7 linked regions of the Danio rerio genome follow. The protein of the gene in region 1 interacts with the protein of each later gene in a pairwise test. Links are inferred from orthologs where the notes say so. Each region holds a gene or a part of one and is shown in the gene's direction. Other genes may lie near its edges.

Region 1 (3,946 bases):
ATGGTGAGATTGAATCTTGTTCACCAGTGAGTCACAGAAGATCTGCTGTTTTAGCATTATATCGCTCGTCTGTGATTACTCACTGCATGCAGAACAGCTGATCAGCTGTGTAGCAGTGACAGCACTGAAACTTCTCTTCTGTAGCGCCTACAGGCAAGTGTGTGTTTCTGACAGCCGCGTGCTTCTCTGTATGCATGTTCAGGGAATACAGCAGCAGTTGGAGAGTGTTCTGCTGGAGAACATTCAGCTGAAGGAGCGCAATAAGAGCAGCGAGGCATCACTGAATCATATCAGTGAAACAGCACACAGGTAACACACACACACAATCACACCCCTTGAGCCAAACCTTGAATCTGTAGTCTCTTTGAATTAAACAAGTCTCCTGAATACCAACATGAGCGTCCTGATTAGATTAAAGATGACTGTTCCCCTGAAGTCAGCTCATCCATAAACATCTGTCTCTCTCTCTGTGTTATCTTTCTCTCTCGGCCTCTCTCATCAGAGTGATGTCAGCCGTGGAATTAAAGGCAGGTCAGATGGAAGCAGTTCAGTCCAGTGTAAGTCAGCTGAACCACAGACTCGCCTTTGCCGCCAAGCGTCTGGACACAGTACATGGTGAGCGTGTCATCTGTGTCAGTGTGTGTGTGTGTGTGTGTGTAAGTGTGTTGCACTTTTAATAACTTGTTGTTTGTCTGCAGGGCTGCTGTTGAGAAAAGAAGCTCTGTGGAGAACCAAGCAAGCTACAAGATGTCCAGAGCCTGCAGTGTTGGAGAGGTACAGAATAGTGACATTAAAAATCATAGTTAACATTGTGGTGTTTGATTTTGCAGTGACCTCTTTATAAGTAATTATCAGATTATGAGATATTGAGGTTAATAATCTTGAGAGTAATATTAATAAATTTATTTTAAATGTAATGAGTGAGTTTAGATGTTATCTCACAATAAATATATTATTATTATTATTATTATTATTATTATTATTATTAGTGGTGTAACAGAAAACAAATCTCACAGTTCGAATCACACGATAATTTTTCGGATTACCAAAAAAGGGAAGAGACAAATGTCATTTGCTTTTTATTCATACATAAATATTGCTGCAAAATCCATTGCTTTTTACAAACAGAACTGAGAACCTGTAATTAATAAAAAATAAAAAGCTAGAAAAATAGTAAAATATTCAATATAAAAAAATGGTCTTTGCTACGGTTGCTGATAATGCTAAATTTAGCAGTCTAGCATCTTGTACAACATATATTTATTTTCTATAATTCAATCATTTTCTTTTTGGCTTAGTCTCATTTTTTAATCTGGGGTCATTGCAGCGGGAAGAACCGCCAACTTATCCAGCACATGTTTTATGCAGCAGATGCACTTTCATGCTGCAACCTATTACTGGGAAACACCGATACACTTTCATTCACACACATACACTACGGAAAAGTTCACCTGAACCACATGCCTTTGGACTGGGGGAAACCGGAGCACCCGGAGGAAACCCATGTGAACACAGGGAGAACATGCAAACTACACACAGTAATGTCAACTGACCCAGCCGAGGCTTGAACCAGCAACCTTCTTGCTGTGTGGCGACCGCACTACCTACTGCTCGACTGCGTCATCTTATATTCAATTAATGATTCAACAATTCACACATAAAACTTCGTTTAATTATAGGTGGATCATTTTTAAGAACCCATTCAGTGACATCATTTTAATTGTTGTTTGTCACCTCCCATTAGTTACGCAATGTAATTGCTACAACATTCACCAGCTTCAAGTTCCGTTACACAGTGATTTAATTCTTTACGGTAAAAATCTGTGGTAATATCTGAACTATAAATAGTTAAACTGTATTAACTAACTGAAAAAAGTTTAAAAACTGAATCTCTCAATCAAGCGTAGATTTTAATGCATTAATAAACATGCAAATCATCATTATTATTGTTGCACGGGTTTGAATTAAGATTACAATTTTTTAATGATTGACAATGCAACTTTACACTGAATGCATTAATACAGGCTTAACAAACAGTGACAAAAAATATTTTTTAAATGCTTTCATGCACTTCAAGGACGCAGGAAGCGATCTTTCTGCAATTGTTATAAATGTTGGATTAAACTACAAGTTCCAAAAAGTTAATATTCCTTGGGTCACATGCATTCCAAACTGTGGGTTGTGGTCCGTACACACCTTATTTGCATTTTCAAATCAATCAAAAATATTATCAGGTTTAAAAAAAAAAGTTATGGTTATCAAGGGCCAAGCTGCGAAGCTGTGAAAGCACCTATTGTTATTCTTCCGGTTCCTATTCTTCTTCTTCTTGTTCTTCTGCCGAGATTTGAATGGTAGTCTATATAGGCTTTTGTTCAAAAGTTATGAAATATGGCACACTTATAGAAGACAAGCTCAATATTAATCGTAGCAAATTTGGACCATCTAACTCAAACTTTCCAGCACCACCACTTGTTCAAAACTGCAATGCTAATAACTTTTAAACCGTAAGCTGCAGAATCAACATACAAATTTACCCTGAATGCTTGACTTATTGCAATCCAAATTTCAAAAATAGGGTTTAGTTTTTTTCTATCTTTTAATAGTTTGTAGAACCTTTGTTTTCGAACGCGTGCTAGACGGTTTGTTAAATTTTCACCAAAATTGGCCCAGATCATCACTAGATCATGCTGGCAAAAAGTTATGGAATTCAAGACGATAACTTAAATTGTTGCTGAATAATGTGCAATTCAATTTGTCAAAATGACATGCCAAATCATACTCAAGGCAACATCTCGACAATGCTTAACTCTAAGTTTGGTGTGTGTTATGACAACTATGATCTGAGGTTGCCTGCACAGTTTCGTTGCAGTTCCACCTAGTGGTTTGGAGATATGAAAAACAGCTACTTTTGCTTGTATCTCGTGAATGCTCTCACCAAATTTCACAACATTACATTCAGAGTGACATTCTGAGTTGGATGATGTTAAATTTCCCCATGTTTGCCATTTGGTGTCACCATTTTGAATTTTGTTGAAAAATGCTATATTTTACGAATGCATTGAGGTGTTGTCACAATCTTCAACACAATTCTTGCTGTGAGGCGAACGTGCTAACCATTGTGCCACCGTGCAGCGTGCTCTTGATATATTCCTTGGATAATTTAGCATAAATTGATACCAAATTTTCCATACTTGGTGAAACTTCCTGTTTGCCATTTTAAATTTCGCTTGAAAATGCTATTTTTCTTAACTCCTACTACACTGTTGGGCCGATTTTTCACTAAATTTAACTCAGATCATCTTTATTATTGTTATTATATATTAATAATAACAAAAAAAAACAGATAATTAACTACTTAGATTTGTAATGAACATTTTAGTACAACTACTAAATTAGGTTATATAGGTCACCAATAATACATATACCTAAGATTAACCATATAGGAAAATAGGGGACAAGAATGTAGTATACAACAGTTTTTCATCTCATAGCTTGACATACAATTTCAAGCACTGCACTGTTATTTAATATGGCCATCATTCTTTTGTGTTGCAGCTTTATTAATAGTCTCAAAGCTGAGGTGGAGATGTTGAGCACAGAGAGGGACACGCTCGCACAGGAGCTCAAACGAACACCAGAGCTCATTCAGGCCTCGCTTTCTGAGCTACAGCAGCAGCGTACGTACACGAAACCCCAAGCCGAATACTGAACATCTGCAGAATGTAAAAAAGAGATGTGATTCCGTGTTGCAGGAGACAGAGATCTGAGCCACCTAAGGGAAGCTCTGTCACACAGCAGGGAGGAGCTGGAGGCATCAGAATCAAGCCGAATGGAGACACTGAGGCACTGTGAAGAACAAGAGGGGACCATCGCGGAGCTCCGCACTGAGGCCCAGAGACTCCAGCAGCAGTGTGACTCAGGTGTGTGTGAAGAACAGCTTCCCCTC
Region 2 (4,658 bases), on another chromosome or scaffold:
TCCCTCATAGCTGAAGTAGTTGACTGAAAGATACAAAACGTATTTTATCTAAGAATTCATTATATATGCAGCATAGTTATATACATGGACTGCAGTTACTAAAGTACACTATATGGGCCCAACAAACAGCCCTTGTAAACAGAATAACCTGCCCGTCAAAGCGTCTGACGTAATCTACGTGCCCGTGTACCTGCCAGACAAGAAAGACCAGTTTCTACGAACACGTTTTAAAAATATAAGCTTTTTTTTAACTCTTTCTCTTACAGTGCGCTTCATCATTGTTTTACTACTTGATCAGGAGTGCGTTGTATGGTCTTTAGATATATAGATTCATTAAAAACAGAACGGATTACAGAAAATTATAATCAATCCCAAATCGTGCAATTGTAATATTAGCTCAATGTATAAAATGACTCTTATTAATGAAACTATTTGCCACTTGGAATAACACAAATTTTTCAAGCATTACTATGACTGTGGCCTACCTCAAATTATATCCTTCTCTGTCCCTTCCTCCTAAAATCAGCTTAATACAAAAGCCAATCCGTCCGTGAAAATAACAAATGCATTTAACGTAACAGGACTTCACCTCTGCAGCCAGCGATGCACGAGTGAGGATGATGTCATAGACTCCGCCTTATATCAGGTGTGCAGTGATGACCAATGTGTCCGACAGAGGGCAGAAGAAATGCGGGGCCAGGGGAGAACCGAGCAAAGTAGAGCCTAAACACAGAACTGTCCCAAAGGCTTTTTCAACTGTTTAGTTACCACGAACGCCTTAAACATGATCATAATAAATTATATTTGTTAGTTACACATTTTGTAGGCCTATGCATTTTCTCTAAATAATTCCAACACTCTTGCGCCTTCTTGGGATCTCTAGACCCCAAGCAAAAAACCCTCGACTACTTCATTACAGCATTTCTTTTTTTTTTTTTAATTATGCAATTCACGAATAATATTATTTATACACTCACTGGCTGATTAAACTCTGGTGTCTCTAAATCATTTTGGACCAGCTTTTGGGTTTACAAAAGCTTCTGTAATTATTCGGTTCGGTTTCCTCATTTTTTACATTTTAATATTGCGTTAGGATAATTGTAAGAGAAAACAATTCTCAAAAGATAATTATAAAAAAAATTCAAATATAATGCAAAACAATTATTTAAATAATTATTATAATAACAGTAATAATAATTACATGATTGGTCTCTAATCTGACCACGAACAACACAAGTGCGCCTCAAGGAACAATATCAGATGCTTAATCATATTTTAAAGTTGTCTTCTCTTATTCTAGCCTATAAACAACGTATATACACATCATCATCATCATAGCTCTGAGGCCTAGACTACTGCATAGTTTTACTTAAACGCAGGCTAGTGAAAAGACATGGAAGACACGAAGAAGATCATCTGACCGCTGAGGAATTTCTTAAAACAGAGATGATGTCAAAAGTAACGAAACGCACGTCTGAAGACTATTCAGCGAACAGGTTTGGCGTCAAAGTTACGCCCTGCACCGCGCATTCCTTCACCCCCCCACTTGGGAGAGGAGGACATCAGCCGCCTCACTGCAGAGAGGATGGAGCTGTAGTACTGACATGACATGTCGACTTAATTCAAACTGCAAATCATTTGGACAAAAACATAAGGTAATGGACTTTTTTGTAGATGACATGGGACTTTGCTTTTCACATTTCAGCTCTACATTATGTTTTTATGGGCAATTGTTCATTATTAGGCTAATAAATTCATTATAATGTTGTCAGCATGTCTAAAAGAGTAGGCAAGAGATGAAACAAAACAACATTTAATTGTTCATAAAAAACTCATTTTAAAAGATATTATTTTAGACAGAAATATTTCTTGCTATGGTTACTAACTCACAAGAGTGGTCTGTCGTGATCAGGTGGTATTTTTGTACAAATGTAGAACAACTTATTTTCACTTTTAGCATAAATTGCACATTGTTTCTTTTGACCCCATCAGTAGAGACAAAAGTAACACATGGATGGTTTAAAAGTAACACAATATGCTAAATATACTTGCTTAACTTTGTTTATAATAAATATTTCTGTCTATTACTTTAATATGTTAACTTGCGAACGTATTTTGTCCTTAATTTATTTTTTCCAAAATTTGTTAAATGACATCTTCATTATAAATTTAAATTTCAGCTCTATCAAATGTTTCAAAAGTAACCCAACAATCCAAAATTAAATAATTTAGAAGTGTGCCACATGTTTATCTGTAGCTAAAGCTTTAGTGACTCAAATAAAGTCTTATATATATATATATATATATATATATTATCTCTTTTTAATACGCTTTGCAGTAAAATACAAATAACTAAAGAGCATATTATCTTTACAGAAACAAAAGCTGAAGTATCAATTCAATCCATTCAAACTTGTTTGGTGAGTGACGCCAGTCAGAAATAGTTTCACGGATAAACTTGTTAGACTTGTGACTTTTTCGTGGTAGATAAGGAAGTGTTATCTGCCTTTTACAGTCAGAAGGTATTTTTGTTCCACAATGCCTAAAAACAAGGACAGCTTGAGGGAAAATAATATTGCAAATTATAAAATCCCAATTTTATATATTTTTGTGTCTATTGAATGAGTGTAAAGAGAACCAGAACTAAAATTGTTATTTACTTTTTGGTGGTCCAGAATAAATTAATCAAGACAAGCAAACTACACTTTTAAATAAAACAAAAAAAAAATGAGTTTGTATGGCTGGTTTCACAAATAATCTTTAATAAAAGCATTATTTGTAGTAAAAAATACTAAAGATTTTAAAAATGTTATTAACAATAAGAAAAAAAAATATTTTAAGAATTGTTTACTGAAAGGTTCTTTTTAGGAACCAAAAATAATGGTTGCAGGGCAAAAACCTCCTTCTGAAATTATTCAGAATTATTTTTAATTCTGTTTATTATTTTTAAGAGTGTACCAACTTGAACACAATCTGAAACTCACTATTTCAGGGGTCTCATTGATTGTTGCTGCGTTTTGTTCTGTTTTTTTGTGTTCACACTTATTGATATTAACTAGAGCAGAGTTTCTTTACATCAAACCAACCCTGTCAAGATGAACCCATACTTAATGTCCTTTGCTCTTCATTCTTTCTTATAGCAATCATGAGGGACCGACTAAATCATCTTCTGACCATCTCAGAGACCGACAGTCATCTAGAGGAGGTAGAATCTGACTCTTTCAGCAATGTGGATCTGGAGGAGAACTTCAGCCAGCAGGCTGTCATTTTTGACAATGGTGAAGATATGGAGTCTGTGCTTGACGAGGCTCAAGACACCAGACGTGAGATTCAGCTCATCCGCCTCGAGGTCAAGCGGCTCAGGGACCAAAACACACGAATACTCAACGAACCGACACGTACAAGTTATGTAAAGCGTGACGCCAATGCCATCGCAGGTGACATCAAGACCCGTGGGGTGGACGTTTTGGCACGTCTACAAAAGATGGACGCCCACGCCAAAGAGCTGCAAGAGGAGCATGGCATCAACTCAGCAGTAGCCAGAATCGCCCGAACACAGTATGCCACCCTGAGCAACAACTTCCAAGATGCAATGACCGAGTACAATGATGCTGAGATGAATCACAAGGAATCATGCAAGCGTCACATTCAACGACAAATGGAGATCGTCGGTCGAGAGGTGTCAGGTGACCAGATAGAGGAGATGCTGGAGAACGGTGAGTGGAACGTCTTTAACGATAACATCATGTCAGAGGGCAAAACAGCTCGCTCTGCACTCAACCAGATCGAGCATCGACATCGGGAACTGCTGGAGCTGGAAAACCGACTCAACAGCCTTCATGAAGTCTTCCTGGATGTGGCGATGCTTGTGGAGGAGCAAGGACCCATGACAGACTACATCTTAAACAATGTGCAGAAAACTGATGCTGTGCTTGGGGAAGTGCTTATCAAACTGGCACAGGCCAAAAGACATGATAATAACAACCCCTTCAAGAAAATGTTCTGTGGATGCTTTCCTTGTGCTAAAATCTGAGTGAATGTAAACAGACTTGTGGACCTGAGCTTCTGATGACCTTTGAGTGTCATTTAAAAATGAAAAGAAAGAGATGTGTAATGAAAAAGATCACAGATTTCTGACGCAAAGCTTTGGTCTATAAAGAACTGTTTGATAGGCTACTCTTGAAGTGAACAGCAGTCGTGCTAAGAGTACATTAAACACCTAACACACAACTGAAAAAAATGAAATGACGTTCTCTACAACTATACAACATTTAGTCCTCACTACTTGTCTTCTTTTCCTTTTGCAGACTGATACAAACTGTAAAAATGGTAAATCACATTTAAGTGTTTGAGGTCAACAAAAGCAATGGAGAATTAAATCTGATATTTGACTAGATATTGTGTGGGATATTCATAGGCTATAATTTATTATTATATGTGAGATTCTTATTAATCTAACTGAACATGCACTTACATTAATCCGGAATATGAAGAATTTGTCATGTCTTGCCATATTTGCAAAGCATGTTTATCATATTTTGTTTGTTTTGGCAATCAGTTTCTCTGCAAGTTTATTAGAAAAATATCAGCTAAATAAAGGATCAAATAATGTACTGTAACTCTTAAATTGTCTTTTTTTAAATGAAAAAACAGATGCA
Region 3 (3,946 bases), on another chromosome or scaffold:
GTAAGATTGCTACTAATTAAAATTATTTAAAAAATCTAATATTACTATGGGAAAGCATTTAAGCAGAATTTAATAATGACGACAGTAATCAATGCATTACATGAAATAAATTAAATCACACTGGTTTTAATTTGGTAATTAATTTTTACATCAAGATCCACAACAGCAATGCACTAAACACTAAGAAATCTGCCGTTTGAGTTTTTTTTATTGATAACGTTCTCAAAATGATTCATGTTCACACTGATTGGCTAAAATGACACAATGCTGTATTAAGCAACAGTAGCCTAACAACTGTCAATTTTACTAGTATGTCAAAAACACTTTACCCAGTCATTGTTGTTTTGATGATAAAATATTTGTCTCTATATAAATGTAACAAAAGCACACACGCACAATAATTTTTTGATATATTACATGAATACGAAAATTGTACATTTTAAAAATTGTGCATTTTGATTAACATTTTCAATCACTGAAGCAAACATTGTCTCACTGATGAATTGATGCCTCCACCTGAAATATGGCACATATATACTAAAATCATATCCCCAAAAAAGCAAAAATGTTTATTTATGTACCAGGTGTCTAAAGCCATGGGCACATTGCACCATAGACTTCGTGGATTGTCTGCATGCGAATGCGGCAAACTGGTAATGCAAGCTTGTGTTTCGCAGTTCTCTGCGTTGCAAAGTTCAAGCTTGGTAAAATCGCATCACGTGACTGCGTGAGACCAATTGAAGATCAAAACATGACCTCTCTTTGAAGAAATGGAGAGAATTTAAAATATGGATCAATAGCTTCCTTTTCTTAATGTCCATTCATCCTGTTTATCCCGCCCCATTTCAGAATTCAGCAGAATTTCGCAGGCTCAAACTCTATTGTGACTGAGGCAAAAGTCAGGTTCTAAAGGGCTGCAGCTCTGCACAGTTTAGTTCCAACCCTAATTAAACACACCTGATCAAACTAATTGAGTGTTTTAGGTTTGCTTGATAACGACTGGAACTAAACTCCGCAGGGCTGAAGCCCTTCAATAATTGTGTTTGACGCCCCTGATTTATGTGTTCATTTATCTGAAATGCTCTGTTTGTTTGCAGATGTACACTAATTTGAGCTGCTTTTTTTGTTTTGTTTTTACTTCGTGTGTCTGTTCTAGGACTCATCATCAGGAGGGTTTTCTTCAGGAGATGTGCTGATTCCCTTGGCTGATGAATATGATCCCATGTTTCCCAATGACTATGAGAAAGTGCTGAAGAGACACAGAGAGGAACGACAAAAACAGAGAGAACAAGAGCGACAGAAGGAGATTGAGGAGAGAGAGAAGTAAATATCCAAAAAATTAACATACACTTCAAGAACGTATGCGATGCCTATTTTTTTTGCACATTAGCCATGTTTCCATCTAAAGATGGGAATTAGACTTTTTTTCTCACAAACCTGTAATATTGCATAAAACATTTGTGATTAAAACTTAGTTTTCATCCAGTGAGTGAGAATGAACAAAATCATAACTTCCTGATAAACAGCCTGACACAGAAACAGTTTCTTCCCTTAGGCAATCCATCTCATGAACACCTTATGATAGTAAATGAGAAACAAACATCACTACTTGCTATGCACTTTTTATACACATATACACTTATTTAACAACATATTTACATGCCAATTTGCACATAACAGCTGCACATGTAACATTGTATATAGTAATATACCTGTACCTACACTTGTCAATTTGTATATTTGCATTCACTACTTACTACTATTTTTAAAATATATTTATTATGTGTTTTTTTTGTCCTGTCCCTGTAATTCTGTTGCATTGTTGATGCATTTCGCCATTTTTTAATGCAATCGTCCAAAATGTAAAAAAAATGGATGGAAATATGGCTACTGATATTTCTCATTTACTCATTTACTACATCAAGAAAGAATAGCTTTTATTACTATTTTATTACTTTTATTTTATTGCCAGACCTGTAGCCACTAGTTTTATATAGTCATATGAATGCTATCGAGCTCTGTAGTACAGGTTGACATGAAAATGTACCGGATCTGCTTTGTTTTTGTTTTGATGATTTTGCCTCTGTTAAATAGGAAACGTAAGGAGAGGCACGAAGGAGGAGGTGGTGGTGGAGCTCCAAGTGGATTCTCACGCTTTCCAACAGAAGGCGAATCAGATGAGGAGGAGGACTATGAGAGGGAAAAGAGAAAGAGGAGTACGTGCAGCTTTTCTTTGTTGCTCTTCAGTCTCACTTTTAAAGGGGTCATAAAACTGAGAAATCAAAATGTTGACATATTTTGACATCTTAATTGAATTGATTAAATTAAACGAAAGATCGTTTACACAGATATTTGCAGATATTTTGGGCAAACTGGGGTCCAGCTGAAGAGGTGGTCTCAGTCCGCTTTATAAACAAATCAGATTATTTCATAAATGCGCGTTATACCCATTGTATTGCCCATAGTAAACACACACTCTCCTCTGATGCGGAATACATCGAAAAGCATTTTATTTATTTATATATTTTATCTAGAATTTACATTTTGGGTGAACAAATCCTTTAAGGCGTGAATGTGATCTGACACATTTTCAAGTTATCAGGATCTCATAGTTTAAATCGTGCATCCGTGGTGTCTGCCATTGCTAAGCAACCATCAACCACACTCTCCAGTGAACCACTTCAACAGACCCCAGTCTATGCCCCAGCTGTAGCTCAGATACCGGTTTTGTTTATGAATAAAAGAAAAACGTTACAGCGTTTTGCATTTGACTAACTAGCTTACTGTTATAACTGAAATGTATAGAATATACATTTCATTAACCTGTTGCCTAAAGCAAAATAATTTTAGCCTAGAGCACCATCTGCTGTTAAAAACCAGCCTAGAGTGTCATTAGCTTCTAGCCTAGAGCGCCATCTGCTGTTAAAATCTAGCCTAGAGAGCCTCTAGAGTTTAAAAACAAAAAAATTAAACGATGAATAGACTTGGGCCTATTGGGCATGGTGGTTCGTAGCTTGCTATCAACTGTTTTCTCAGAATATGACAAGCTGACAAATCATTTGGGTGTTTGAGTGTTCTGTATTTGTCTGAGATAATTAGTCTACCGAAATGTGTATATTCCTTACAAGCTGAAGCTGATCAGTCAATTCTTATCATGTGACTCGCGGCATTCATTCAACTAAGTGCATCTTGAAGGCGTAAGCGCGTCATGCTGCTTGTGCGCGCAAGCTACGCACCTCCTTTGGGGACAATGACCGTGCTCAAACTCTAGAAAAGATGCAATATGCGAACGACTCCAAAAAGGCCACCATCATTTGTGATGTGCATCAGTTGATCTTCTTACACAAAGATGCTGGAATCACCTGATTTGTTAACAAATGGGTTGCGGATTTATGCTTTGGCAGATTGCGGGTCCATCACTGGGCCTTTTCCACTTAGCAAAGAAACTTTCCACAGATGTTTGTTTCTTACTCACTTTGCTGCTTTTGGGTTAAATTTGGGTGCGGTCTATGGCCCGGTGGTAGAGGTTATTTGGCCTCGAGCAGGGATTCTCAAAAGGTAAGCCGCGGCCCACTAGTGGGCATCAGCGATCCTGCAGGTGGGCCGTGAGATAGCTAAGAATAACTCTCAATATTACACTGTAAATTTTGGATTTCATTAATAATATGCTGTATTAAAATGACCTAAGTAATGAACTTTCTTCAGTTCTCTAATTGATTACCTCGAACTTATCGCAAAACACCCTTATGATTGCATGTTTCAACTACTACAGCAAGTCTGTTCATTCATAAACTATGCGTGAAGTGAAAGTGAAAGTCTCTCTTTGTGTATTTTTGTTTGAACTATTTAATGTATTTGCATAGTTGTCCAGATTAATGTCCTGTCACTGTATGTGTTGGACGCGCGCCCAAGGTTCTCCATACAGCAAAACTTGCATATTAGCTTT
Region 4 (3,946 bases), on another chromosome or scaffold:
GCTTTGGAGTTTGAAATTGGTATTTTGTGGCCACATGGAATGTTTTAACAGTTTTTGGTTCCTTTTCTTTTGAATGACTTTGGACTGTTGCTCTCTATGGAGGGTCAGAGAGCTCTAGACTTTTATCTAAATATCGTATTTGTGTTCTGAAGATGAACATAGGTTGGAATGACGAAGGTGTAAATAAAAACAGAATTTTAATTTATGGGTGAGCTAACCCTCTAAAGACACTGACACAAATATTTAATCAGCCAATCCCATGGTAGCAACTAAGTGAATTTGGGCATGTGGACATAGTCAAGGTAATTTGCTGAGTTTTAAACAAGCAGCTGAATAGGTAAGAAAGGTGATTGAAGTGAATACAGTGAGCAGTAGATACAGTAGGGGAAATAAATATTGAACATGTTGTTTTTTCTGGGAACTAATATTTCTAAAGGAGCTAAAATTGGATTAGATTTTGGTAAAAACCAAAACAATACAAACATAAAAAAATGTAAAACTAAAACATTACTTATGTGTAATAACAATGAAATAACGCAAGGAGAAAGTACTGAACTACTAAAACGCATTTAATACTTTATGTAAGAGGCTTTTTTGATAAAGGCTACAATGATGAAGGGCAGAGGGTTGCTGAAGAACTACTGAGAGATTTCAGCTGCTGTCTGAACCTTCACTGCCTTTCTACTCCTCCATTTCTTCATGTGTTCAATACTTTTACCCTGCGTCATTTAATTTTTATTGTGAATAACTTAATTTATAAATTAATTAGATTTTTTTTCTTCGCATATATGGATTTCTTTGGTTGTTGCCAACACTCTGTGAAAATTTCAAGTCAACAGCACCTTTAGAGTGTTTTATGGGAAAAAACTGTAACGTGTTCAATATTTATTTTCCCTGCTGTATTGATTATAGATGAGAATAGAAGGGGTTTGAGCTAATAGAATTTGAAGTAACCACTTGTTACAATGGTCTGCAGAAGAGCCTCTCTAAAAACAGTACACATCAAACCTTGAAGCAGATGAGCTACAGCAGAAAACTCAGGTGACACTAATATCAGCTGAGAACAGCAAAGCCTATAGTTTAAATGACACAACTAAATTGGAAGATAGAAGATTGTGAAAAGAATGGTTTGATGAGAGTTTGTTCTGAACTTATCGGATGGTCTACCCAGAATTTGGTCTAAGAGAAAGCAAAGATCCATTATGCCTTGGATCAACAGTTCAGTCTGTAGTGGCACAGTGGTGTATAGGACATTTTTCTGGCACTGACTGTGCCCCTTAGTGCAAAAGAGAATCATTTAAATGCCACAGCCTGAGTGCTGTTGCTTACCAGGTCCATCCCTTTATGACCATCATGGCCCTATCTTGTGATGGCTTTTTCCAGCAACATAATGCACCATGCCACTACGCTCAAATAACCTCAAAGTGAGTTCTTGAACCTCTTAAACCAATTTGGGAAGTGGGGGATTGAGATATTTGCATAATGGATATCAAATCTGCAGTAACTGTGGGATACTTTCATATCAGTAAGGATCACAATCTATGAAGTGGTTGATGGGAGTATGTTTCGAAAGCTATGAAATAGTAACCCTAAAAAAAAAGTACTCATTAGCTACTCACCCTCAAGTTTTATTATTATTTTCTATCATTAATATAAGTTCTATTATTCTTTCTTCTGCTGAACCCAAAAGAAGATTTTTCACAGAAAGCTGAAAACCTGTAACCATCAACTTCTGTAGTTGAAAAACAAATACTATGGAAGTAAACGTTTAAAGGTTTCCAGCTTTCTTCAAAATATTTTCTTTTGTGTTCAACAGAACACAAAACTCGAGAGTAAATGATGACAGAATTTTCCTTTTTGGGTAAACTATCCCTTTAACTTTTAGTATCTTCCATTCACTCTTGTTGGTATATCATAACTTGCAGTGAGTTATTCATTACAGTTTTTCCCAAAACCTCTATGAGCGTTTAGAAAAATGCTTACGCTCTCAACACTGTCTAGCTGTGTCTTCTGTTTCATACTCTTCTCCACCTGCGGAGAGGTGGTGTGGAGCCTGGAGCACCTGCGTCACCAGCAGCCGCAGGGAGATGGAGGAACTGGGACCTTATGCTATCCGTCACTTTTATATTTGTCCGACGCGACTTCACCGCTCTGTCCTTGACAGGATCACAGACACAGCCAAGGCCTCCAACATTGAGCGGACGGAGGTGGGTTACGAGAGCATGGCCCACTTCATCATCAACACGGAGGATGTGGCCAACATGCTGAGACATATCAACTTCCGGACAGGTAACAGCTTCACACTCAAACAATGACATTTGCTGTTTGTTCAAACTACTTATTTCAATTGTGCTGAAACAACAATTCTTTAGGGGTTTTTGGGAACAATTTTATTGTTTTATGTTCATTCTACACAAAAACAAATAAGTTAACTCAATTCCTTCATATTCTCCCAACACAAATCGGTTGTGTGGAAGCCAGCATTTTTTACAGAGCACAGCTGTGATGTCTGATTACATTGCAATGTATGTTTCTTTCAGGTAAAGATGAGGAAGACAGTGGTGATGAAGCTCCTGAAGGCCTGACTACCTCAACTGGTCAAAGTGGTGAATCAGGGACGCGCTAACTTATGTTTAAACCCAAGGTTAGTTTCAAAGATGCATCTGTAAAATGGTAGTTGACCTTAATATTGGCTGGTCAATAGTTTGTTACTTAACATTTGTATAACTTTCTTTTTTAGAGCTCATTGGCCATCATTGTTTAGACCATTTTGAGGGATATAAACAATAAGTCTTTATGTATTTCCTGTTTTATATCTTTCATTTCCAAAGCTTCTTAAAATCCAGAAAGCTCCACAAATTGATAACTTTTTTCAATGACAGTTAACATTAGTTATGACTTAATTGCCTCTTGTTAAAGTTCTAAAAAAGATTTAAGACAAGCAGAAACTGTTCATGGAAGATTTATATCGCCATATTGATACATGAAAGAGAAATCCTTTAAAGGAGACCTATTGTGCAAAAATCTCTTTTATAAACCAAGCGGCAACATCTCGTGAAGCAAATACAGAAGTAGATGAAACTGCAATTCATCGAAATTCTTCTAGGCCTGGCTCCACAATAGAATAAATTTCTATTAAGCCCAATGTTAAAATGGCCAACTTTACAGCAGAAAAAGGGGTTTACAGCCTGGTACAAAGAACAATTTTTGATTCATATAGCTAATATTACCCTTCATGACAACTGTGAGGAGGTGAATTTTTTATAAGTCACCCATTTAATTTACACTGAGTTATATTAAGTCTGCATAATTCAGGTCTCGCTGGTTGCCATCACTTCACCTCAGCTGATTCCGGCTGATTAGCCGCTGAACTTGGCATATACATAGTAGTTTTGTTTTGTTTTATGTGGCTTTACACAGTGAGTTGCTTTTTGGAATTATTTCTTACAATAATCAGATGATATGGCATGCTGTGTGCACTTAATTGTGCTCACTTCACATGGCCTCCATTTCCCAAGTGGGTCAAATTATATACTTATATACCATCTCTATAAATGTATCGGTTTTATTTAAGATCATTCATCATTTATATTTTCTTTAGACCTGTAATGCACTCCAGAATCAGACAGATTGATTAGCTGTAGGCTCTAAAACAGTCAATTGAAACACTGTAATACTGTTATGCCTGGATTTCATCAATAGCTTTGCATTTACTAACATAGACTATATTTGAAGTGTTTGGAAGTAATTTGGGGTTTCCTCCTGTAGAAAATGTCATAAGAACAATGCTTAGTGGCTCAGTGTATTACAACAGTGTTTTTAAATGTCTAAACAGTTTATTGATTTAGTGTACAACCAAGCACATGTGGTCAGAACACAAACAAGTCACAGACAATGAATTATTAAGCGTTTCTCCCACAGAAAATACTGTCTAGGTAAAATGCTA
Region 5 (3,946 bases), on another chromosome or scaffold:
CCAGAGACTTTTAGATCAGGGATGCCCAAACACAGTCCTGGAGGGCCGATGTCCTACAGATTTTAGCTCCAACTTGTTTCAACACACCTGCAAGGATGTTTCTAGAAAGCCTAGTATGAGATTGATTAGCTAGCCCAGGTGCGTCTAATTGAGATTGGAACTAAACTTTGCAGGACACCGGCCCTCCAGGACCAAGTATGGGCACCCCTGGTTTAGATGCATGTCACCGATGAGAAGATGATTGATATTTACTGTACAATGACCGAAATGGCCTTAAACACCCAGCAGGCACAAGACGTCGACATGCCGTCAGATTGAAATTGTGCCCTAACGTCGTGGAAACGTTGCATTTTGTTTGGGAATGAATATCAGGTTTACATCAGAGCTCAACGTCAGTGTCCAACCTAAAACCAACCAAATAATAACGTCAAATAATGTTACAGCTTGACGTTGTGTCGACGTTACTACTATGACATCTATCAGACGTTGAATTTTGGTTTCTTGCCATAACTGATGAATAAATTTCAGTATTTGACATTAATAGGATGTTGGTTTAAGATGTTGGCTCGGCATTGGATTTTGGTCACTTTCTAACAACCTAAAATCAACCAAATATCAACGTCATTTGATGTCATTATTGGACATCCAAATAACGTTGTCCTTATGACGCTGGCTAGACATTGAATTTTGGTCACCTGACATCACAACCTAAATCTAACCTAATATTAACATCTTATGACATTGTGTTACTAATGGGCAATGACTAAATGCACTACAGAATGTTACATTTACACACACATCCACAAATGACATGTAAATGCATCAACTTTTAACAGCATAATACTCACTACTCTTGAGTACTTTTAAAAGGGCTACTTTTTACTCCTACTTTTAGTATAATTTACAACAGGTACTTTTACTCTACTCACACTACATTTTTAGCCAAGTAATGGTACTTTTACTTAAATATGCTTTTTCAGTACTCTTTCCACCACTGGGTACTATATAATATAAAATTGTGCTTTTTTTTTCTTGAATATTTATTCCGGTATTCATTTGCTTTTGATTTATAGGTCTGTCTCTTGGTGCTCCTACTGCTGCCTCCATTGCTTCCACAACTGCTATTAATTTTGGAATTAAAACTTCAGGCATGTACAATTGTTTCTATTGCAATTATTATAATTAATAAAATTTAAAAAAATTTTTAAATGGTTGTATAACATGTTTTTTTTTCTTGTTTAGCTACTCCAGCCCCAGCCAGCACTGCGCTATCTAGTCAATCCTCGACAGCTCCAGTGTCCTCTCTGTTTGCTAATCCTATAGCCTCAACTCCAGTCACAGGATTCACATGTGAGTTCCTATTCCAGCTCTTGTCATAAAGAAAATTATTGTTCAGTCATTTTCCCAATCAAACCTGCATGTAAACTGCATAGTTATACACATAGATCACACATGTGATTGTGTACATATCAGGCAGTTATTACTTGAGGATTACTTGATTACTCATGAAATATGGTCTGATCTTTTTACACATCACATTTATAAAGCACTTACCAAATTGCTTACTGACAGTGCAGGTGGGAAAAAGTGAAACTGACTTCTCTAAAAGTTAACTGTAGGACTGCAGGCGCCCTCTAGTGTCTTGCTTAACTTATTTTGGCAGATCCAAAAGAGAACTGTGCTATCAGGAAATAATGATCAACTGCAATAGATTTGTGTCACAGGATGGTCAAATGTAGGACAAAGGCCTTATTAGGACCTAAAGAAAAGATTTGTTGGCGGGTTTAAAGCTAAAAGCTGATATAAACGATCCTCTCTCATGATTCTGTATAATCAAAACATGGTTATTAACAAGCATAAGGTTAATAATGATTACAATGTTAATAGAACTAAGGGCTGCTTATGGGAAAAATCATAATCACGATTATTTTGGTCATAATTGTAATCACGATTATTCAAAACGATTATCAGTTGAAGTCAAAATTCTTCATCCTCCTGTGAATTTATTTTTATATATAAATATTTCCCAAATGATGTTTAACAGAGGGGTTTTTACAGGATTTCCTATGAATTTTTCTTCTTCTGGAGTAGGGTTGTAACAATATACCGGTATGACGGTTTACCACGATTTGAACGTGCACGATTATCATACCATGAACAATTGCATATCAACGGTTTTAACCCTTAAAGACCGAGACAGCCGCCCGTGGCAAAAAATAAGTATTGCTCTTAAATGTTTAATAACTTTTGATCCACTGATCCGATTCATACAATTCAAAGATTGGCATAAAGAAGAGAATCTCAGCTTTCCAGTGCTGTATCACATAACATTCGCGGACTTTCAGAGGCTCCGGAATCAGTGCGGTTACGTCATCAACATTTGACAACGCTGATTTGACAAAGAAACGCTCGTCACTGTGTCTCCGGACAAACCAGACATGATACATTGATGCATTATCCCTCCTCCATGCCCAGATTGGTTCAAACTCGCTATATCACAACCAATAAGCATAGGTTTCGCTTTTGTTTGTGGACCAAAAACGAGCTTTTTGAACAACACGGAATGAAAGAAAGGCATACATTTTTGCGCGGCTAAATAAAACGCAAAAAAAAAAAGTTTTGCATGAAATAATTCTCATACTAAGTACTTTTGCATGCACAGCAGCACAGAAACATGACAAAACAGTGACACAGCAAAGACGAAGTGCTGCTCTTGCTGTTTTCAAAAGACGCAAATGAAGATGCAGCTGTTTGTCTGCATTGCAGACAACCAAATCCATATCCACAGACAACCATATCCATGCTGGCACATAAAACCTAAGGATGTTCCATATTGAATCTAGTTTCGTTATGTAACTATTTATAGTATAGTAAACATTTATATCTATTTTTTACTGAGGATTTGCACCATGTTTATTTGGACTTTATTTGGACTTTGACACATTATTTATTGTTTTCTTATTTTTTTATTTGTTCATTGCAAGTGGTGTTTATAGTAACTAAAAATATATTATTTGGAAAAAGTCAAATTTGCTTCACTGTTCTATTATTTTGTAACATTTGTAACATACCGTATACCGCGAAACCGTCAAACCGTGGTATTGTTTTAGACGATTATCATACCGTGAAAAATTCATACCGTTACAACCCTATTCTGGAGAAAGGCTTATTTGTTTTATTTCAGCTAGAATAAAAGCAGGTTTGAATATTTTGAAACCTATAATAGCTCGATATTATTAGCCCCTTTAAGCAATATATATGTTTGATTGTCTGCAGAAGAAACTACTGTTATACAATGACTTATCTATTTACCCTAATTAAGCCTTTGAATGTCACTGAATACTAGTATCTTGAAGAATATCTATAAATATGTGTAAAATATTATGTGCTGTCATCATAGCAAAGATAAAAGTAATCAGTTTTTAGAAATGAGTTATTAAATGTGTTGTTTAAACTGTGCTTTAAGCATCTTCACTGTATTTTTGATTTTATTATTGATTAATAATAAAAACAGTCGGCAGCAGCAGGAATATCGCACACTGTCTTTTTAAGAATAGTGCGGCTCATGGGTTTCTCTTTCATGTGTCTTTTGATTCTCAACTTGTTAGTTTATTACACACATGGGGGTTAATATAAATAATCAATAAACACCACGCTCTGACACAAATGTGCATGTATTTGACCATTAAAGCGCTCACATTAAGCTCGCGTTAGATGTGTGTGTGCTCTGCTGTCCGAGGCTAAGCGCGGCGCGGCGAGCGCGCAAACAAACACACATGCTACCTGTCCGAGGCCAGACACAGCGCGCACACACACAACAGCACGTGCTCTTTTGTAGTTTTAAAATTATGAATGATGCGCATCTCGTGCTGCAAAAGTTACATTAGAGCACATGCTTTTAGTCATTATCACGTGGAACTTAGCTTTGCAGAGGCAGAGTTTTCAC
Region 6 (4,428 bases), on another chromosome or scaffold:
TAAACAGTCTGCAGAAACACTTTGATTGACATTCTGCCTTTGTACGTGCCATTGGATTGGAAAAGCCCCGCCCATTAGAGAAATTTCTCCCTCATTAGCATAAACAGCTTTGAGTGAGAAGCAGCCGTCCGCCATTCTCATTTGAATTTAAAGCGACAGTCACCAAAACGACACAATTTGGATCACAGCCTTAAACTTGCTGTTTCAAAGCATTATAAAAAATTATTTTTGTGGTATTTTCAGCTGATACTTCACAAACACACACACACACACACACACACACACACACACACACACACACACACACACACACAAACACTATAGGGACTTATTTTACATCTTGTTTAAATGAGTGTAAGAGGCCCCCTTTGAAGAAGAGAATATTCAACTTGTATCATCATTTTGGTATTGTCTTATATACAGTTGAAGTCAGAATTATTAGCCCTTGTTGATGTTTTTTTTCTTTTTTAAATATTTCCAAAATGATGTTTAACAAAGCAAAGACATTTTCACAGTATGTCTGATAATATTTTGTCTTTTTGAGAGTCTTATTTTCGGCTAGAATAAAAGCAGTTATTAATTTTTTAACTACCAATTTAAGGACAAAATTATTAGCCCCTTTAAGCTATTTTTTCCGATAGTCTACAGAACAAACCATCGTTATACAATAACTTTCCTAATTACTCTAACCTGCGTAGTTAACCTACTGTAATTAACCTAGTTAAGCCTTTAAATGTCACTAAGCTGTTTAGAAGTGTCTTTAAAAATATCTAGTCAAATATTATTTACTGTCTTCATGACAAGGATAAAATAAATCAGTTATTAAAAATGAGTTCTTAAACCTATTATGTTTAAAAAATAAAATAAACAAATAAAAAATAATAATAATCAATAATAATAATAATAAAACAGGGAGGTTAATAATTCAGGGGGGCTAATAATTCTGATTTCAACTGTATATAAAAAAAATTGTTGTTTGTTTGTAGTTTTCTGTTTGTAGATTTGCCCAGCCCTGCCACTTTAGTTTGAGCACTTACTTCTATACTGGTTAATTTGGTTCGAACAGGCACTCTTGTTGTTTTCCCTTGGTCTGAAGCATGTGAACGGCCCCTAAAAAGGGTAATGAACCAGAAGATGGCCTTTTGTTTGTCTTGCGCACACACTTCAAACATGATTCAATTTTTCCCCCCTGAAGTACCAGCACAAGACAGCGCCGATCTTCTATGTCCCCGAATCCTAATTGATCACTCTAGATTGGCACTGTCAGGTCTCACTGCGCCACATTCCCATAGTTGTCTGTTTCCATATTATGTTCTATCCATTGTCACACAGCAGGAGCATGATGGATGGCTTTGTAGGACGCAGTTCAACAGGGTCATCTTACCACGGAGGCGACCAATCACAGACCAGCTTCTTTATCCTCAGCAGTGCATTTAAAACATGTTTTGAGTTGATTTTCCTTATTTTGCATAGATGCAAACACTGTTGTTACATCATCGGCTAAGAGACGCTTAGCTGTCCGACTGCAGTGACAGATGGACACAATGAGAAAAGGGAGGGCGAAAGAGTGAAAAGCATTTTCTCTCTCGGAGTTATAGGACTACACCAGCATCGCAGGAGTTGGATGGGTTATGAATGGTTGGAGTTTGCCCAGTCATTTGGACCTAAAAACGGGGATAAAGACTATCAAAACAAGGCATTATGAAAGGAGTGGTCTGACCTGTGAGTTTTGTCCTGCAATCCAGTGACTGTAAAAATACAATAAAACCATTACTGACGCAAGTGGAGGTGATGATTTGTCAAAGTGCCAATGGAGATTACGACTGAGAGTTTCATGGTTACTCTTTCGATCGAATTTCACTGGAATACACCTGTAATCTTCTGGAAGATCTCCAAAGAAGAGGCGTGCAGATGGGGAAGATAAGCACCTAAATATTATGTATCCTGATTAAAGAAGCATTTATCATGCTGTTGGCTTACATTGTTTATCAGGCGATATCTTTATAGACGTGTCCAGGTAGGTTAAAATGGCTTTGTGGGGTTTAAAAGCAGATGTGCGGTAGTCGTCCCTCCCTCATTCTCTCTTGAACGAGATTGGGAGATGAGAAAGCCATCTCATTTGCTGATCAGATCACAGACAGATTATCAAGCCTAAGTGAGAGTTCTGGAGCTCGAAGGTGTTGGAATAACACGGTCTTACCTTCCAGGAGTTGTTGTTTGAGTGAAAACAGTGGTGGGAAGACATGCAAGAACTCAACAATACTTGATTCTAAACTGGCTGATCACCTTCACGTCGACCGATAAAGCTCATTGCTGCGCAATTCGGAAGAGTTTATATTACGACTGTAACTTTAACCAGAAGATAGTGTTCAGTGCTTGCGCTCACCCTGAAATGGGATCATCCAGAATCGCTTTTAAAGGATACTCCGTCTAAATGTGTGTGTGGAGACGTCTCCAGTAGTCAAGCCAGCATGTATGTTCTGTGCACCTTGGTGCTGCTGTCTCTTCACAACCTGTTTAGGAGACCCCGAGTCCTGGATCCCGTTGAACCCAAAGCTATCGAAAGCCCAGAGAAGCACAAACCAGATGTAGGCAAACACGGACGCAAGAAGAGAAACAAACACCACATTCCTGGAAGTTCTGGACCACTAGAGACTTCAAGAGTGCATGGGCAGAGTGACGTTGATAGATGCCTTGACGGATTCAGCAGCAGAGCGAGTAAAAGAAGATCTGTTCATCAGGATAATGTGCTGGAGAGGAGGAAGATAGCACAGGTGAGCGTGAACATGGAGGTTAAAGTAAAGAAAGTTGTTAGTTGAAGGCTGTTTGCATTGCAGCCATCCAGTTTAATGTTCACTGTTAACGATTTTTGTAAATTACACAGTATTTAGCTGTAATGTGAACTGTATTTTACTGTAGGACACTCATGCAGTATGTTACTGTATTTTAATGCTGCATTGTGAAAATTAGTGTATATTCTACAGTAAAGATTTACATTAGGGTTGGGCGATGTTGACCGATTTGGCATCGTACGATGTCTAATGTGAAACATCGTGATGGACGATGGCATCAGTGAATCATTTATTTATTCATAACAAATTAATAATTTGTAGCCACCCGTTGCGACTACCTGACCTGCATAGTCTTTGTTTTATACATAACCAAATCATAAATGAATAAAGATAAATTACACATAAATGACCAACCGGTCAATATTTTTTTTTGCGGGATTCTGGCATGAATAGGCAGAGTGATCTGTGTCATTATAATGGCGTCGAAAAACTTGGTTGGTAAAAAAAAAGGTGCACAACCAACAGGAACCATCCAACAGTATCTGAGGTTTAAGCTAGAATTACAATTTACTAAAAGTACAAGCGTGAAAGCGAAAGACTGAAGCAGTGTACTGACGCTGTGTTACCTGATAGATTCAAAAGACAGAGGAGTCGTTAGATAGAGACAAGATTAATTAAATATCAAGTTTAACATCTATAAGATGCAATCCAGCGGTACATCTTTAATAAATTGTCCAAAGTGCACTGCTCTCTGGGATTTTGTGCTCAAAGCACCCACTGACTGCCTAGAGCTCAGACGTGCGCAAATGCTGCAGCACATGCCATGTGTGTTCAGCAGTATGTTTTCAGAAGTGCTAGATAAAACGCCAGTGGATGTGGATCGTTTTCGTTCTAAAATGCCATTTTAATACTAAGATGTATTGGTCTAAATGGGGCCTGAGTGTGTAATTCTAGCGACGGGGGCGGGGCAGAGGATGTTTCTCGGCCTTTGTCGATCGACGATGGCATTGCCTATTGACCCAAAACTATTATACATACATATCTGTAAATACAAGATAAATGGTGCTGTAAATGTAAATACAGTCTATTTGCTGTACTTGATTTACAGTAAGTTACTGGTAAATTGCTGCCAGTATGTTACTGTAGATTCTGCAGGGAATTAAGTGTTGTTTTTGACCGATCAGTCCTCAAGCTGGAAGAGTGTAACTGATGAGTCTCTCTGCTACTGGAAAACCTCCATTTAATCCAAAATGCAATTATTTATTCATTGATTTCTTCTCATTATTTATGTGCGTTGTATTATTGATTTGAAGAAACCTTAGACGGCTTTAAGTTGAACATATTCCTTTTCTGAGTGTGTGAATTTCATCAAGTCTACTGGAGCTATTTTAATCAATCAAGTGCGTTTTTCTCGACTTTTCATCCTTATCCAGAATTTCTGTGATCAGCTGCTTCTGGTGGGAGTAATTCACTATGGGAACATTTTGTAAATGTTCTTTCTGCATAATACACACAGGGATTTTCATTTACCTGGAATCATGTTTATCCTCCCAATGTCCCATTTCTAATGTTCTCTGCAGTCTGATGGATCGTTTTAGCAGATCAAATCCTGAGTGGTTACGCAAGCAGTGGGTTA
Region 7 (3,946 bases), on another chromosome or scaffold:
ACAGATATAGTGTTTGTTTTAACGGCACAAATCCAGCACAAACAACCTGTGCTGATTTGAAGTGATTTGAGCAAGATGGGGTGGAAAGTGACATTGAACGGTCAAAAGAAATAATGATTAATATCTCAGACCCCAAACCAACACAAACATTAATTCTTGCACAAATATAGCACAAACGAATGGCATAGTTTTGGGGATTATTTGTTTTTATGGGGTGCCAACTTCATGGAGGTCAATTTGATTTGATAAAAAAACGAAATTATATGCACGAATAAATATTTTTCATTTTTGGGTGAACTTACCCTTTATTGAATGTCTAAATCTCCTAATGTTCACATTATTAGATAATAAAATAAGAACATTTGAATGAGATCTGCTAATCAGCTCAAACAAACTGTGCAATAGGCGAAATATTCTCCAACATGGCCCTGAAAAAAATCCAATAAACGTAATGAATCATTTAATTTCATTATGTTTACTCGTAATGATCTTATGCCAGTTATTGTTCTCAATGTAAGGCAAGGTCTGGTGAGCAACGTGCTGAGATTTGTGGGGAAAATGCTGACAGACAGTCCTGTCGACAAGGAACGTGTTTTTATCATATGCTTCTACCTTACTGATGACACAATAGCTGTCTTTGAACCTCCACAGAGAAACTCAGGTATTGTCAGCCTATTCATATAAATTCAGTTTAGGAAAATAAACATTTCAATTTTACTGTATGTTTTTATATTGCTCTTGTGATGAAGGTGTGATCGGGGGTAAGTTCTTAGAGAGGGGGCGAGTGAAGAAGCCAGGACAGGAGCTGTTTAAAAGTGAGATGTCGGAGTATTTCACTGCTCAGGATTTGTATGTTGGAGCTCATCTGCTTCTGAACAGTCAACCTTTCCAGCTGGTGGATGCTGACGATTTTACATTCAGCTATATGGAGCAGCATGCAGATGAGGTAACACACAAAAACCATCTCGTTGCTTCAATTTTCAGCCTGTTTTAATTAATGTTGCTGAGCAAAATATCAAGATATATGTCTCTATATAGAATCTCCATTAAAAGTCCTTCACCTATTTTTCTCAATTATTTAGTTCCCCAAGGCCAACATTGGCACCATCATTAGCAAGGTAAAATCCATCAGTGAGGAACAGCAGAAGAAAGTAAAACAGTTTTTCACCATGAGTGACCCAAGCAGCACTGGCTCTCTTCCATATGAGTCATTCAGGTAAGGAGCTGGCCAAAAATACACAAATAAAAGACACATTACATCTTGTTCCCGCCTGCCATATATTATATAGATATACCGAGTGAGATTCTGGATCAGTTTCACTGATTGTGAGATTTAATTATGGGCAATGTTATTTGCAGAAGTTTTCTTTAAAGGGGTTGGTGCAACAGACCTGCAGGGAAAAAATGTTGAGATTACATTTGAGTTAAGCCGCAAACATTTAGATGACCAGCAGGTTTTGTGCATTTGTGATCCACATACAGTACCCGCTGTCAGATTTAAAGCACTAAAACCAGCAAACAGTGTAAAACGGGTTGACATGATTGATGTATAGAGGACAGGGATATTAACACTCAGAAAATAGAGATAGAAATTAAGAGCAATAAAATGTGACAAGTTCAGTTGGTCTAACATGTTTTATAAGCTTTTCTCAAGCTATGAACTGATAAAAACACAATGAGCAATTGAATGCTAATTGCACTGACCAAACAGAACCAAATTACTAATGTAAACACTTTCATTACTACATTACATCATTACTACATAAGCTTTAAGTACAAAGCTGGTAAAATGAAATGCAGAAAAAGCCTTGTTTTTGTGATCTAGGTGGGTGTTAATGGGATGTGACATCACGTGAAAACTCTGAACAGAACTGACAGGAAAAATCAAGGACAAGTCATGCCAGGTTAAGCATGGATTATGTTTAGAAATAAGTGAACTCTATAGTTAATACATTACTACTGGGTATTTTAAGTTACAAAACAACAAGTTGCTTTAATTAAATTACTTAAAAATTAACTCGTCACTGAAAAACTACAGTAACGAATTAGGTGATTTAATTAGTTACTTGCAGTATTCATTCATTAATTAATTTTCTGTTCGGCTTAGTCCCTTTATTAATCAGGGGTCGCCTCAGCGGACTGAACCACCAATTTATCCAGCATGTGTTTTACGCAGCTGATGCCCTTCCAGCTGCAACCCATCACCGGAAAACTTATATAGTTTAGTAAATACTGAAAATACAGTTGAAGTCAGAATTATTAGCAATAATTCAGTTTTTGGTGTACTATCCCTTTAATCACTGTCATGTAATGTTTCAAAGACACATGCATATACAGTTGAAGTCAGAATTATTAAACCCCCTGAATTATTAGCCCCCCTGTTTATTTTTTCCCCAATTTCTGTTCAATAGAGGGATGATTTTTTAACACATTTCTTAACATAATAGTTTTAGTAACTGATCTCTAATTACTGATTTATTTTATCTTTGTCATGATGACATTAAATATTTTACTAGATATCTTTCAAGACACTTCCATACAGCTTAAAGTGACATTTAAAAGCTTAACTAAGTTAATTAGATAAACTAGGCAGGTTACAGTAATTAGGCAAGTTATTGTATAATGCAGAGGTGTCAAATCCAGTTCTTGGAAGGCCGCAGCCATGCATAATTTAATTCCAACTTTGCTTCAACACACTTACCTGTATAGGTTTTAATCAAGCCTAAAGGACTCAGTTAGTTTGATCAGGTGTTTGATTAAGGATTGGCACTAAAATGTGCAAAGCTGCGGCCCTCTAGGAACTGGATTTGATGTGGTATAATGGTTTGTTCTGTAGACTATAGAAAAATATATAGCTTAAAGGGGCTAGTAATTTTGACCCTAAAATGGTTCATAACAAATTTAAACTGCTTTTATTCGAGCAGAAAAAATATTATCAGGCCTACTGTGAAAATTTACTTGCTGTGTTAAACATAATTTGGGAAATATTTTAAAAGAAACAAAATTCAAAATGGGGCTAATAATTCTGACTTTAACTGTACATTCAGGAGTTCTGTAAGTCAGTTCAGAAAAGCAGATTATTTGTATTTTGCTATATTAATAGATTTTGCATATTAATTATATTTTAAACTAAAGGTTATGCTTATTAATACAGCTGCATTCTTAAAAAACACTGATTTGAGTCAGAAAACAGTTCAGGAAAATATATAAATTCAGAAAAGCAGAATAATACATATTCCAATTTTTTTATTTATTTTTTTATTTTTACAAATTTCAATTTTCAAATTTTCCCTATTTAGGTATTTTGTAAAAAATAATTATTTTTCAGCTATAGAAAGCTACATTTGTCAGACAATTACACATGCTGAAGAAACAATTAAAATGTTAATAAAATATATTGCGTGTACTCTATGAAAGCAGATGTCTGAAACAATTCGAAATACTTTTGTAATTCTGATTACTAAAGAATGTGATGCTTTTTATTAAAATGCTTAAGCCTTTCATGTTTTTATTAAGCGAAAAGAATGAAGTTATTTTTATTCTATATGAATTGAGTTTTTTTTATTCAGTCATTTAATTCTTTATTTAGTAATTAAATTACTTATCAGACATAGTAATTAGAAATGTTATTCAAATACAATTTAAATAATGTAATAGCTGCCAATTATTTACTTTTTTAATTTAACAAACATATCACTGTTTTGTCACAGAAAAAGCTGTGGGTTACCTCTTCAGTTTGAGACAGTGATTGAGTAAATGTCTGTGTGGTTTCCAGGACTCTGTTGGCAGATTTGGACGTGGAGTTGTCCGAACATGAGATCATGACACTGGGTCGTGTTTATTCGGTGCGGCAGCAGCCAGAGGTGAACGTGGGTCTCATGCTTGCTGTGGCTCAGGATCATCTGAAGAAGAAAAACTTTGAGAAGTTCTCAGAAATGATCCAAGC

What was found.
Region 2: the proteins of si:dkeyp-20g2.1 (region 1) and stx11b.1 interact in binary tests that used the Homo sapiens proteins (3 or more experiments, as listed by UniProt). The link is inferred for Danio rerio from reciprocal best matches to the Homo sapiens genes CCHCR1 and STX11.
Region 3: the proteins of si:dkeyp-20g2.1 (region 1) and rbm17 interact in binary tests that used the Homo sapiens proteins (3 or more experiments, as listed by UniProt). The link is inferred for Danio rerio from reciprocal best matches to the Homo sapiens genes CCHCR1 and RBM17.
Region 4: the proteins of si:dkeyp-20g2.1 (region 1) and trim54 interact in binary tests that used the Homo sapiens proteins (3 or more experiments, as listed by UniProt). The link is inferred for Danio rerio from reciprocal best matches to the Homo sapiens genes CCHCR1 and TRIM54.
Region 5: the proteins of si:dkeyp-20g2.1 (region 1) and nup62l interact in binary tests that used the Homo sapiens proteins (3 or more experiments, as listed by UniProt). The link is inferred for Danio rerio from reciprocal best matches to the Homo sapiens genes CCHCR1 and NUP62.
Region 6: the proteins of si:dkeyp-20g2.1 (region 1) and kifc3 interact in binary tests that used the Homo sapiens proteins (3 or more experiments, as listed by UniProt). The link is inferred for Danio rerio from reciprocal best matches to the Homo sapiens genes CCHCR1 and KIFC3.
Region 7: the proteins of si:dkeyp-20g2.1 (region 1) and efhc2 interact in binary tests that used the Homo sapiens proteins (3 or more experiments, as listed by UniProt). The link is inferred for Danio rerio from reciprocal best matches to the Homo sapiens genes CCHCR1 and EFHC2.

Annotation. Positions count from the first base shown.
Region 1 is NC_133180.1:24,144,190-24,148,135, reverse strand, and holds part of si:dkeyp-20g2.1 (coiled-coil alpha-helical rod protein 1), read left to right. Parts: intron 1-202; coding exon 203-309; intron 310-502; coding exon 503-615; intron 616-698; coding exon 699-774; intron 775-3,555; coding exon 3,556-3,677; intron 3,678-3,752; coding exon 3,753-3,920; intron 3,921-3,946. UniProt on the Homo sapiens protein: May be a regulator of keratinocyte proliferation or differentiation.
Region 2 is NC_133195.1:29,251,870-29,256,527, forward strand, and holds stx11b.1 (syntaxin-11b.1), read left to right. Parts: upstream 1-1,613; 5' UTR 1,614-1,655; intron 1,656-3,140; 5' UTR 3,141-3,145; coding exon 3,146-4,033; 3' UTR 4,034-4,619; downstream 4,620-4,658. Other genes in the region: stx11b.2 (syntaxin-11b.2), read right to left, coding at 1-8. UniProt on the Homo sapiens protein: SNARE that acts to regulate protein transport between late endosomes and the trans-Golgi network.
Region 3 is NC_133179.1:26,162,464-26,166,409, reverse strand, and holds part of rbm17 (splicing factor 45), read left to right. Parts: intron 1-1,156; coding exon 1,157-1,323; intron 1,324-2,094; coding exon 2,095-2,216; intron 2,217-3,946. UniProt on the Homo sapiens protein: Splice factor that binds to the single-stranded 3'AG at the exon/intron border and promotes its utilization in the second catalytic step. Involved in the regulation of alternative splicing and the utilization of cryptic splice sites.
Region 4 is NC_133195.1:42,014,870-42,018,815, reverse strand, and holds part of trim54 (tripartite motif-containing protein 54), read left to right. Parts: intron 1-2,164; coding exon 2,165-2,289; intron 2,290-2,540; coding exon 2,541-2,626; 3' UTR 2,627-2,644; intron 2,645-3,946. UniProt on the Homo sapiens protein: May bind and stabilize microtubules during myotubes formation.
Region 5 is NC_133189.1:11,200,912-11,204,857, forward strand, and holds part of nup62l (nucleoporin 62 like), read left to right. Parts: intron 1-1,073; coding exon 1,074-1,148; intron 1,149-1,242; coding exon 1,243-1,350; exon of another isoform or gene 1,351-1,372; intron 1,373-3,946. UniProt on the Homo sapiens protein: Essential component of the nuclear pore complex. The N-terminal is probably involved in nucleocytoplasmic transport.
Region 6 is NC_133193.1:48,507,558-48,511,985, forward strand, and holds the start of kifc3 (kinesin-like protein KIFC3), read left to right. Parts: upstream 1-1,596; 5' UTR 1,597-2,471; coding exon 2,472-2,774; intron 2,775-4,428. UniProt on the Homo sapiens protein: Minus-end microtubule-dependent motor protein. Involved in apically targeted transport. Required for zonula adherens maintenance.
Region 7 is NC_133184.1:35,458,614-35,462,559, reverse strand, and holds part of efhc2 (EF-hand domain-containing family member C2), read left to right. Parts: intron 1-518; coding exon 519-661; intron 662-749; coding exon 750-946; intron 947-1,082; coding exon 1,083-1,216; intron 1,217-3,775; coding exon 3,776-3,946. UniProt on the Homo sapiens protein: Microtubule inner protein (MIP) part of the dynein-decorated doublet microtubules (DMTs) in cilia axoneme, which is required for motile cilia beating.